Drosophila melanogaster: one gene and its partners. The protein of the gene in region 1 interacts with the protein of each later gene in a pairwise test. Each region holds a gene or a part of one and is shown in the gene's direction. Other genes may lie near its edges. The genes, in order: Vlet, Fis1 and Cdk5.

Region 1 (3,757 bases):
CAATTGCAAGTGCCCGGTGCCCAAGCTCCTCTACGAAGCAAAGAGGCGGGCATAGCCGACCCAAAAGATTGGCCAACCATGCAAATTATATCCAATTCAAGAAACTATCTCAAGATTCTCAGTTTACTCGACCAGTTTTCGAGATGAACCAATAAGTGAGGGTATAAATATATTCTAATAGACAAAAGTACTGTTTTTTCAATATATGTATATTACATGAGAAGGGGAGTAAATACTTTAATATACATTTAACAAAAAATAAGCTACGATAAACACAAGCTGAAAATGAAATATTTGTCATTGCAGCAATTATTTTCTGCTTATGTAGAAATTTTAATAACAAAGTCTAGATAAAAAATTGAATCATTTTTATAAAATCGCAGCCTGTAGAAATCTAAGTTAATAAATAATAATAATAGTTATGACTGTAAAACTCGCAGCTGTTAGCAGAAATTCTATTTCAACAAGTGTATGGTTCTATAATATATTTATAATTTAACATTTATCTTGGAAAATAAATAAGATGAATATCTTTTGAGTAGATAAAAGGTGATTTCGAATTCGTGGTGGCGATGGCATTTAGAGTTTTATTTTTCTTAATTGGATTAACTGCTGTTTTTACAGCCCGACAGCAAAACAAAACGTAAAACAAAGGTAAGAAGCGAAGAAACCCCAATATTTTTCCAGCATAAATATGCTAAACTGCCATAATGAGCGGAAAATGCGATAAAACCGAATATAGAGAGGAAAATAACGGAAAAGAAAAGCGGGGAAACTGAAACCAAACGATTCTTTTTATTGTTTGGCTAAAATTGATTGCATGGCTAGATTATTGCTGTTGGAATTGGAATTGTTTCTGTTTTTGCAGCTTTGCCTTTTGCATGCCGCGATAAAAAGTATTATTTTTAATTTCCCGTATCAGGCGTATGCATGTGTCTGTGTGTGTGTGTGTGTATGCATCACACGACTCCGCCGGAGAGAGTGTGAGTGTGTGCAAGGGTGGCTGAAAAGGGGAGAGCGATAAAAAGGGGCTGCAAAATGCAGACGAAGCATAAAATAAACAACCGACGACGCGCTATCGATTTTTACGGCATGCTGGAAGCACCAGCACACTGATACACACAGTTTGCAGAATAGGGAAATAAACTGGAAGTTATGCTATGCCAAATTGAGTTTTTTCAACAAAAATTCCTCGCAGAGAAACGCGAAACGAACTAGTGGAAGACTAAAGAGCCGGGTTTTGTTTATTTACACAGGAACAATACAATCGCACGCAGCCAAAGACACACATACGTATACCACATACACATGCATATATCCCGACGCACTGTTCCGTTAGTTTAGTTGGGGTTTTTGTTTTTCTCGGGCTTTCGCTGAAACCTTAGCTTGAAATCCTTACTTTTAAGATGCTGACTATTTTTTATAATCGGTGGTTGGTTTTGCTTCCAATTTTCCGATCCCGAGTTCCGTTTATCATCCGCTCCGCTGCGCCTGTTTACCCCGCTTTTACACTTTTCCGTTTCGCTGTAGCTCAACGAACTCGTCGCTCTCCTTGCTCCGCGCACTTGTCAAGCTTTCCCGACTGCAACTGCACTCGAACTCGGGGCGTGGGTGCACTCGCTGCGCCTTAAAAGTGCATCTTTCGCAGCCGAATCAGCGGAAAAATCTGCATTAAGTTAAGCCGCGTTTCCAATACACAAATACTGCTTATCGATTGTTGGCGCTATCGAGCGGAGCATCGATAGGCATCAGCGGAGTTGCCAGGTAGGACGATTATATTAATGAGTTGGAAAACTATTCGTACTTGATAATCTTCTACAAATTGAATCGTCGATCGTCGGTGCCGTCGACAATCTGGTATTGATATTTGCTGGTGCGGCTTTTTTTCACGAATTTTATTTTGCAGGAAACATAACAGCAAATATTATTTAAAACATTGTAATTTTATAAGGTAAATTATTCAGGCCTAAATACAGAAAAATAAATTAATTTAATAAAACATTTAAATCTAAAAAATTAATAAAGAATATGTTTAAAATCACATCGCAAAATGTAATATTTTTGTATTTTAGTCAGCACTTACCGTTATTATTGGCAGTAGTAACTGTGTGGCAGCACCGCACCGTGGCAAGTCGATAGTTTTTTGTATATTGTTGGTCTGTATAAACAAATAATATTAAAGTCATAATAAAAGAAGTGCTGGTAAAGACTTAATAACTCTATGTTCCTTAAAAATTTTTAAATATATCTCACAATGAGCATTAACTGGATAAAGATCACGGAAAGGTATGTAATATCAATGTTCTTATAGAGATTAATTTCTTGCATTTATATCTTAGAGCCCGTGAGGGCATCAAAATCATCAATGCCTTGCCCTACGAGACCTTTACGACGGTTCTGTTCTACACCCACCGGCAGATGAGTCCCAGCGTAGCATCGGCGAGTGCCACCAGTAGTACAGTGGGCACCAGTGTGACGACCACCGGCCGGGTGGACAGCAGCACCGAGGAGAACCCCACAAGTAACACCGAACCGGAGTACACACTCGAGGAACTGGAGCGATTGGTGGGCGTACCGCGTCAGGACTTCCTGCTGCTGATCAAGACCTTCTCCTACATCCTGCGTCGCATCTCCACGTTTATCATCAAGCCAAGTTTGCTGCAGCGTGAGCTGCGCGAGAAACTCCAGCTGGAGGATGAGGCCAAGATCGATGCCATATTGCGTTTGTGGGTGCGCGAAACGACGCCCATTATGAACAATTTGGCCAGCAAGCGGTACGAATCAAATGTCATCGAAGATGTGGCCTGGAAGCTCAACATGGAGATCTCCTCGCATTGCCAGCAGCGGGAGAAGACCCCGCTGGCCGTGCTCCAAATGAAAACGGCCGTCGGCGAGGATATCAACATCGAAATGACACAACCGGAACTAATGGAACTGTACAATCAGTTCGAGAGCATCCAGGGCGAACTGGACGCCATGCTGGCCATGAAGACTACAGGAGCAACGGCGCCTGGCAATCAGTAGTGGGACGCCATCGACCAATTCCAGTGCCAATTTTATTGTTGATTCACACAAAACTCTGTGCAAAAAGATGGACCTAAAAGTATGCAATACTAACACGATCGTAGCCAAATGTTAAACACGTTTTTTTTTGTTTAATTCAGTAGGGTTTTTCCTATGTTCTGGCTAATTTTCCGAACGTAGCCAAATTTTTACTAGAGTAAGAGTTCGGCTTTGATTTATAAAACGTTGCAATGATTAGGATCTTCCAAACAGGACTAGTTTTTAAGTTTTAGAACTTACCCTCTGCAAAATAATAAATCCTTTAATAAATTTAGATAAAACAATGTGTGGCACATTTTACAGTACACTTTAATGGATCTCTGCATGCGTTTTACTCGTCTGCTCCACCTCGGATCATAATTCTACTGATAAACATTACAAATTATTACAATGATATATATTTAATATATGTCTATATTGTATATGCATATGTTATTCATCGGCCTTAGTATGCGTGTGTGTGTGTATAATGGAGTCGTATATTATGTATGCATTATACAGACTTTCTAGTTTCATCTTCTCAAACTTTTGCATAATTATGCATATGTATTTATTGTTATTACGGGAGGGCGGGGATTTTGGGTTGCTTCGTATTCAAATTAGGGGCTTCGTTGTATTTTTCACTAATCTAGAAGCAAAACGATTTCTATTGCACTCTTTCACAGTTCGGTTAATCATTTCAACTAAGTTTGGA
Region 2 (3,569 bases), on another chromosome or scaffold:
GCCCAACGAAAATTACAGGATCATTTATGGCGAACGGGGCAACCGCCTGGTAGCAGTCTCTTGGTAGCACCCGCTGCAAAAACAACCCCGTGCTGACACAGCGTGTGTGTAAACACGTCGCAACAATTAGTTGCCCTTAACGAATCGACGGCGAACCGTCGTCTTCCGGTCAGGGTCCCGGAATGACATTAAGCTCCGATTAGTCACTTTCAAGTTGGTTAGGAGCCAAGCAGCTGCCTGCCATCCGCAACTCTCGCTCTTATTGTTGGTCCCCATATCTGTATTTGTCGCACAACTTTGTTGTGATTACGGCGATAAAGCGGCTCAAGTAAATCACAATAATACGACGGTCTAGTCTGGCCGACTCGGTTCGAAAGAAAGTGTGAATAGAGCCGGGCTCAACAATCAACAACAATAGATTCGCCGGACCGGACCATCAATGACAAATGTCTCTAGGATTATGAGTGGGCATGTGCATAAAAGTCAAAAGCAATAGAAATAAAAATTGTGTTCACGTCATGGGACATGTCAACAAAAACTGCCGAGAAGCAATTGCGCGACACTTTCTTGGGTGTAAATTAAGATACTTTATACTGGCCCTTGGTGAGGACCAAGCTGGTGGCCAGCTTGGGTTTTTGTGTATCACTCGATTGTATTTTGCTCTTTGCATGCGTCAGCTATATATTGAACCGCTAGCATATTCATTGATTTTCGAACAGTAATTCTGCAATATCATTGCCTGTTCAACTTCGTGGGACTAGCACAACCCATCTCTTGCCTCCCCGCACCGTCCCGCGAAGAAATGCCGTCACGTACGCGAGCCCCATCGTTCAACAAATAAAGAATGAACCGGATCCTCATCGTAATTATACTGATGCGTTAGCAAAATTGCTGTCAAATTATAGGAGGCCAGCTCTAAAATCGAGCGATCTTTTGAAGGTAGGTAGGAAATACGAAATTCAGTGGCCATTAAAGTTAATGATGGGTATTTATTTTCAAAAAAGCTTTTCATTCTAAACTCTTTTAGGGGTATATTAATAAGAGATTCCGACCAGCAGTGTCTTCATTGCATTTATCTTCATATTTTATAAAGCGCACATCGAGAACATGATAAATATTATTTCATAACAACTATTTTTATAAACAAACTTTTTTAAGAAACTCTGAATTGATGGAACCGAGATACATAAAAAACGGACTTACACCTTATCTATTCACAAAATACAGGAATTTGAATACTAAATTACACACATTACTCGAAGAGTAAAATGTTAAAGTAGATTCGTTGAAAAGTCTGGATCAGGTTCAATTGAAATGAATTAAAAAGAAATCAACAATTCGTTGTTATACCCGTTAAATGAATAAAACAGGTAACACAAAACTTTTCCTAACACTTTATTGAGGATCAATAACCGAGTCGGTATTGAGGAGCCAAAGAAGTTAACATTTTTTTGTAAATGCATTTTTCTCTGATCACAATTAATAATTATAACATCAAAAATTTTATAAAATCAAACTAAAGTAGTTAAAATCAAATACTTCCGTGAATTCGCTAAAATTTTTGAAACTCCAAAGCTGAATTTTATTTGGCTTAATTAAGAACACATGCTATTAACGGAGTACCCCTTATTAAATAGTCTCAGTGGCAATCGAATATAAGAAGGAACACTAAAAATGTGAAGGAAGTCGTTCTCTGAGAATTGTATATAAACGGTACGACTAATCCTATATTTTTAGAATGAACGGCTACTCTTGGCGTTAAATTCTCTGTATATAATTTTTGTATTTGCTAACAACATTTGCCAAACAATGGAGGATCTTTTAAACGAAGTTGTACCACAAGAAGATTTAGAAGTAAAAAATATTATTTTAGTTCTGATTGTTATAAAATAAATATTTTGCATTTGCTCCAGAGATTCGAAAAAAAGTATCATCACGAACTTGAGTTGGATGGTGAAGTTACCACAGACACAAAGTTTGAGTACGCATTCCTAAATCTAAAAACATTAAAATATCTCAATTCTTCTCAATTCTAATGACACAATAGGTACGCATTCTGTCTGGTCCGAAGTCGGTACACAAATGACGTTAGAAAGGTGACTCACTTTTAAAGCTGTAAAGATGTAAAAATATTATTTTATTTATAATCCAGGGAATTATGATTTTGGAGGAACTGGCTCGTACGCATCCAGATGGAAGGCGTGACTATATATATTATCTTGCGTTTGGTAATGCTCGTATCAAGGAGTATACGTCTGGCTTAAAATACTGCCGAGCTTTTCTTGACATCGAGTCAAATGATCAAGTTCGCTCCCTAGAGGTTAGTAAGGTCACTAAGGAAAGCAGCAATTTCTATATAATCTCCAATAGATTCAAATAATTTTTTGATCCAGAAAATTTTTATGACAACCAAAATCCCATGATCACAAAAGATGTGTCGTGTTAAATGTACATATATAATAATGAAAAACATATTCATGTGATCCTCACTAATGTACATACACTAAAATTCAATGTACGAATAATTACTAAATAACTTTACATATTTCAGGAATATATTAAAAAAGAAATCGATAAGGAAGTGGCAAAGGGTATGGTGGTTGCAGGCGGAGCAGCTTTAGTACTTGGCGGAATATTAGGACTTGGCATTGCTATGGCTAGAAAGTAATATTTTATACCAACACGTTTTTAACCGACAATGTTCTTTTAAAAACAAGCAGTTGAAAATTAAATATTTATGATTTAAATTAAATCTACATTGACTTAATTATTAATGCTATGTGTACATTGTTTATTTTTTAGTAAACAAAAACGGGAGAAATAGTAACGTCACCACTATTTAAGGAAAATAAAACATCGAAAGGTGCACATCAAGATGTTATGAAGTTTAATACTTGAAATATGTTAATTTACTACATCAACATTCTAATTAATCTTTATGTACGGTTAAATCAATAAATTATCCAATTGTTGCTTGTAGATCGTGTGTGTTAATTACATATGTTAAGGTATAGTGCTATGCCGACTCCGCTGAATTAAACTCCAACAATGCTTAAATCATCGGACTTCTGTTGTTTTTAGTCCATACAAAGAAGAACTTCGAAGGCGTAGTCTACCGAATCATCGCCCCGGCTGGGTGCAAAATAATATGATCTCCCTGGGTCCAGAAGACTGACCTCCAGTAATCCAAACTACTCTCTACTCCTTTCTAGTGAAATTGTATTTCGGATATTTTTTTTTAGACTCAGGATAGGTAGGATTAGCTAAGTGTTCCCATCTAAAATAACTATTTCTTCATGTCGCATATTTTTGTGAGTACGTACGGCTTTATCAAAATCGTAACACAAGGAACAGCAGATAGCCTTGAATAAAGGTTATGGGTGGAGCGCAGTTTTATACTGAATTTAATTCGGAGACTAGCTATATTTCAATAGTGGTAATACTTTGGACGTTGATAGGGGATATCAAGAAAGCACGCATTTCAATCCGGCTCTATCTCGTCAGCGAGTGTCGTGGTGTTCTTTTGAGGTTACAGCATTTGGGTGCTCATTCATATCTATGTGAATTTA
Region 3 (3,757 bases), on another chromosome or scaffold:
ACTTGAAAAAGACTGAAGTTGGCTACCAGGAGGAACCTACGCTTCATGTGCCCTTCCCCACCGACGACACAGTTGCCGCGGAGAAGCTCCAGCAACTAGGTAGGTGTTTAAATTCGCAATTATACACATTTCTCATAGTATGATGGTTTCCGTACAGAAAACTGCCAGGAACTGCGTAATTTGCTCCACAATCCACACCTGCGTTCGCTGCTCCAGCAGATTGATGTGGCCATCAATGCCCAGTCGGCCATGATGGCCGCCATGCAGGAGCCACTCTTCGTGGAGTTCGCTAATGCCTGCCTTCAAGTCGTCGAACCGATGACGGATGCTGAGCGCACTGAATTTGAGTTGTACTCCTGAATTAAGTTGACACACAGTCTCAATAAAACTAAGCCTTTATTTTGTAACTAATAGTACTGTCAATCCTTGGCAGCTTCTAGAGGAGCTTGCATTGAAGAACTCCTGGAAACTTCTCATTGAAATCCGCCGGTAAGGTTGAATCTTTTCCATAACCAGGGAAAACGTACAACTAATTATTTGGCTCGGCCATTTAAAGTTATCTATCTCAGCTGGCATATCAAACTAGTCATCAGTCTACAGCTTCGTTCCTTGGCAATCAAACTCAATCAAAGTAAATTGAAACTGGATCCGAGTTAAAAGTGATTTTTGGATGCTTCATGTGCAACTTGAAAAGCCTATGTTCCCCTTGCACTTTCCAGGTCATGGGGATGGGATCCTGTAATGAAAAATATTAGAAACGAAAGCTAATATAAGTTGTGAAATACTTAGACCTCATTAGACATGAGATACGTGTTTAGTTCCACATAAATATTAAGTGCTGTGGTACGGTTTTCTCCCAGTTTCTTCGCATCGAATGTGAACTCCTTAAATCCGAAGGTGCAATGGTATATACCCAGGACCTCGTGTGTGTTTAGGTTTTGTATTAAGGTATGAAACTTAATTTCGTCCACACAAACCGAATTTTGTATATAAAATTCATTGACATTAATGTGAAGATGCTGATACGCATGCATACCAAAATTAGCCACCTTTAGGGTCTTAATAGCCACATTTAAACCGTAAGTTTCACAAAATATGGATGTATTTTGGCTTATCTCGATCATATTTATAGTGCTTCTCTTCGCAGCTATGAGAATCTCTCTCAGAAATCCGTATCTAACGTGACCACAAAGAAATAGCTTCTTCAAGTGAGTTAGACGTTCCAGTTTCGATAGGAACCACACCATCATTTCCTCCTGGAAGCACTGCAGCTGCTCTAGGTTTCTAATCCCTTTCCAGGGCAGTTCTGTGTTCGAAATCTGGTCAATATCGAAGATACCCAGCTTCAGGGATTTTATTTTTCTGGTTTTCAGGATCTGTATCAAGTTGGTGACATTGAATTTGCTGCAGTAGGAGACCGTGAGGTTCTCGAGAAACTCGAATTCATCAAAGTGTTTGCCAGTAAACTTTCCATGGGGGCTAAAAGTTGTCAGATTTGGAAAAGTTTTCAACATTCTTGGCACGTCCGCATCGTTTAAGTTAAACGAATGCGTGGAAAATCGAAAATCTTTAAGTTTTGGAAAACTACAGCTGGTAAGTGTTTCGAAGTTAGATCTATTATTCATTTTGAGCCGCAGAGTGCTGAGGATTTGTTGAGTACTTTCCAGGAAGAATAGCAAATCCTTGTCGCTCAGCTGCATTTCAATCAAGGATATATATGCACATTTGTTATAAGCACGCCACACATACGGCATTAATTTCTTAAACCGGAAATGAAAGTCTTTCAGTTTTAGTTGGGTCTTCAAGTCGAGATAACTTAGAATTATCATTAGAACATCATCGGGCAGACATAGTAAGCCAGGCTTGGTATTCTGCAAAGGGCAAAAGAAATTAGGAAACTTGTATACTTATATTTCTGCTATATTGTTGCATTGCGGTACCATAAGATCGGTGTTTATCATTGTCGGTCTATATTCGTATGTTTAGCTAATATCGAGTCCAAATAAAACAATAAAATTATAACAAAAGTTTTATCAACATTTTTAAAATGATATCTGTTAATTTTGAGTATTTTTGGTGACAGCAGACTGTCAGCTGCGATGTTGGTTAGTCACCGCGTGCTGTAAGCGAATAACAGTGTGCTGTTAGGCGCACGAATCCCTGGCCAGCAAAAACAAACTGCAAAAACAATAATCCCCGGAGTTTTCCATCTGAACGCAAAATAATACACACCAAAACACAGCAAAATGCAGAAGTACGATAAAATGGAGAAGATCGGGGAGGGCACCTACGGCACGGTGTTCAAGGGTCGCAACCGCGACACCATGGAAATAGTGGCCCTGAAACGGGTGCGACTGGACGAGGACGACGAGGGTGTGCCCAGTTCTGCCCTCCGGGAGATCTGCCTGCTGAAGGTCAGTCGGACGAGCAGGAAGTGATTCCAGTTTATAAACTAAATCGGCACATTACCATCCGTAGGAGCTGAAGCACAAGAACATTGTGCGCCTCATAGACGTCCTGCACTCGGACAAGAAACTCACCCTGGTCTTCGAGCACTGCGACCAGGACCTCAAGAAGTACTTTGACAGCCTCAACGGGGAGATCGACATGGCCGTCTGCAGGAGCTTTATGCTCCAACTGCTCCGCGGACTGGCATTCTGCCACAGGTATACCTATATATGTATCAGCACTGGATTAGGTCTTATCTTGTGTCGATTATAGTTAGAATCAAGTGTTATTTGGAGTAACTTCATCTGTGGCACATTTCCGAATGATATCCATTTTATAGCATTGAGACTTAACTTACGCTACATTATCCTATTTTAGCCATAATGTCCTGCATCGCGATCTGAAACCACAGAACCTGCTGATCAACAAAAACGGCGAGCTAAAGCTAGCTGACTTTGGTCTCGCTAGAGCCTTTGGCATTCCCGTGAAGTGCTACTCCGCAGAAGTGGTGACCCTGTGGTACCGACCACCCGATGTCCTATTTGGAGCCAAGCTCTATACGACCAGCATAGACATGTGGTCCGCTGGATGCATTTTGGCCGAACTGGCGGACGCTGGACGACCGCTGTTTCCTGGCTCTGACGTGCTCGATCAGCTGATGAAGATCTTCCGTGTGCTGGGCACCCCCAACGAGGACTCCTGGCCAGGAGTTTCGCACCTCTCCGACTACGTGGCGCTTCCATGTAGGGATTCTAGACGGATTTTATTTATCGATACCAATATTAAAAGCCTATTTATATTATAGCTTTTCCGGCCATCACCTCGTGGAGTCAGCTGGTACCTAGGCTAAACTCCAAGGGACGCGACCTGCTGCAAAAGCTGCTCATCTGCCGGCCAAATCAGCGAATTAGCGCGGAGGCGGCGATGCAGCATCCCTACTTTACGGACAGCAGCTCTTCGGGACATTGAGGTCGGAAGGTTCTTTCCAAGCCACTGTTTTCACGACCTTTGATTAGACTTAAGCCAAAATGCGAGACTTTGTCCAGCAAAGATCTTTTAATTATATATGTATGTCCTTGCAGTAGAGTTCGATTATAGTATAAGATAAAAAGTTCTTTATAATTTCATTAGTTTGATTTACCAAAGCAAAAGGTTTGATTTATGACAATCCCTACCAATGTGACACTTAATATAGCCATTTGAGCTGCCAAATTAACATTTATCGATAAAATACTTATTGATTCAGTAAAATAGTTTTATTCTTAAAAATTTTTATGTTGAGTGTATCGTTAAGATCCGAAAATTGTTC

The links.
Region 2: the proteins of Vlet (region 1) and Fis1 interact in a two-hybrid assay, tested with the Drosophila melanogaster proteins (one large-scale study listed by BioGRID).
Region 3: the proteins of Vlet (region 1) and Cdk5 interact in a two-hybrid assay, tested with the Drosophila melanogaster proteins (one large-scale study listed by BioGRID).

The regions. Positions count from the first base shown.
Region 1 is NC_004354.4:11,676,932-11,680,688, reverse strand, and holds Vlet (valette), read left to right. Parts: upstream 1-2,137; 5' UTR 2,138-2,254; coding exon 2,255-2,286; exon of another isoform or gene 2,287-2,339; coding exon 2,340-3,024; 3' UTR 3,025-3,345; downstream 3,346-3,757. UniProt on the Drosophila melanogaster protein: Scaffold protein in the commander complex that is essential for endosomal recycling of transmembrane cargos; the commander complex is composed of the CCC subcomplex and the retriever subcomplex.
Region 2 is NT_033778.4:5,602,995-5,606,563, reverse strand, and holds Fis1 (Fission, mitochondrial 1), read left to right. Parts: upstream 1-1,729; 5' UTR 1,730-1,809; coding exon 1,810-1,854; exon of another isoform or gene 1,855-1,913; coding exon 1,914-1,981; exon of another isoform or gene 1,982-2,047; coding exon 2,048-2,096; intron 2,097-2,152; coding exon 2,153-2,320; intron 2,321-2,551; coding exon 2,552-2,664; coding exon of another isoform or gene 2,665-2,668; exon of another isoform or gene 2,669-2,769; intron 2,770-2,802; coding exon 2,803-2,824; 3' UTR 2,825-2,977; downstream 2,978-3,569. UniProt on the Drosophila melanogaster protein: Involved in the fragmentation of the mitochondrial network and its perinuclear clustering. Functions downstream of Pink1 and upstream of Drp1 to regulate mitochondrial fission.
Region 3 is NT_033778.4:15,569,792-15,573,548, reverse strand, and holds the start of Cdk5 (Cyclin-dependent kinase 5), read left to right. Parts: upstream 1-2,131; 5' UTR 2,132-2,246; coding exon 2,247-2,414; intron 2,415-2,478; coding exon 2,479-2,666; intron 2,667-2,826; coding exon 2,827-3,191; intron 3,192-3,253; coding exon 3,254-3,417; 3' UTR 3,418-3,757. Other genes in the region: CG8204 (uncharacterized protein), read left to right, coding at 1-99, 158-360; CG30466 (uncharacterized protein), read right to left, coding at 623-736, 792-1,871. UniProt on the Drosophila melanogaster protein: Probably involved in the control of the cell cycle. Interacts with D1 and D3-type G1 cyclins. Possible regulator of neuronal differentiation and/or development.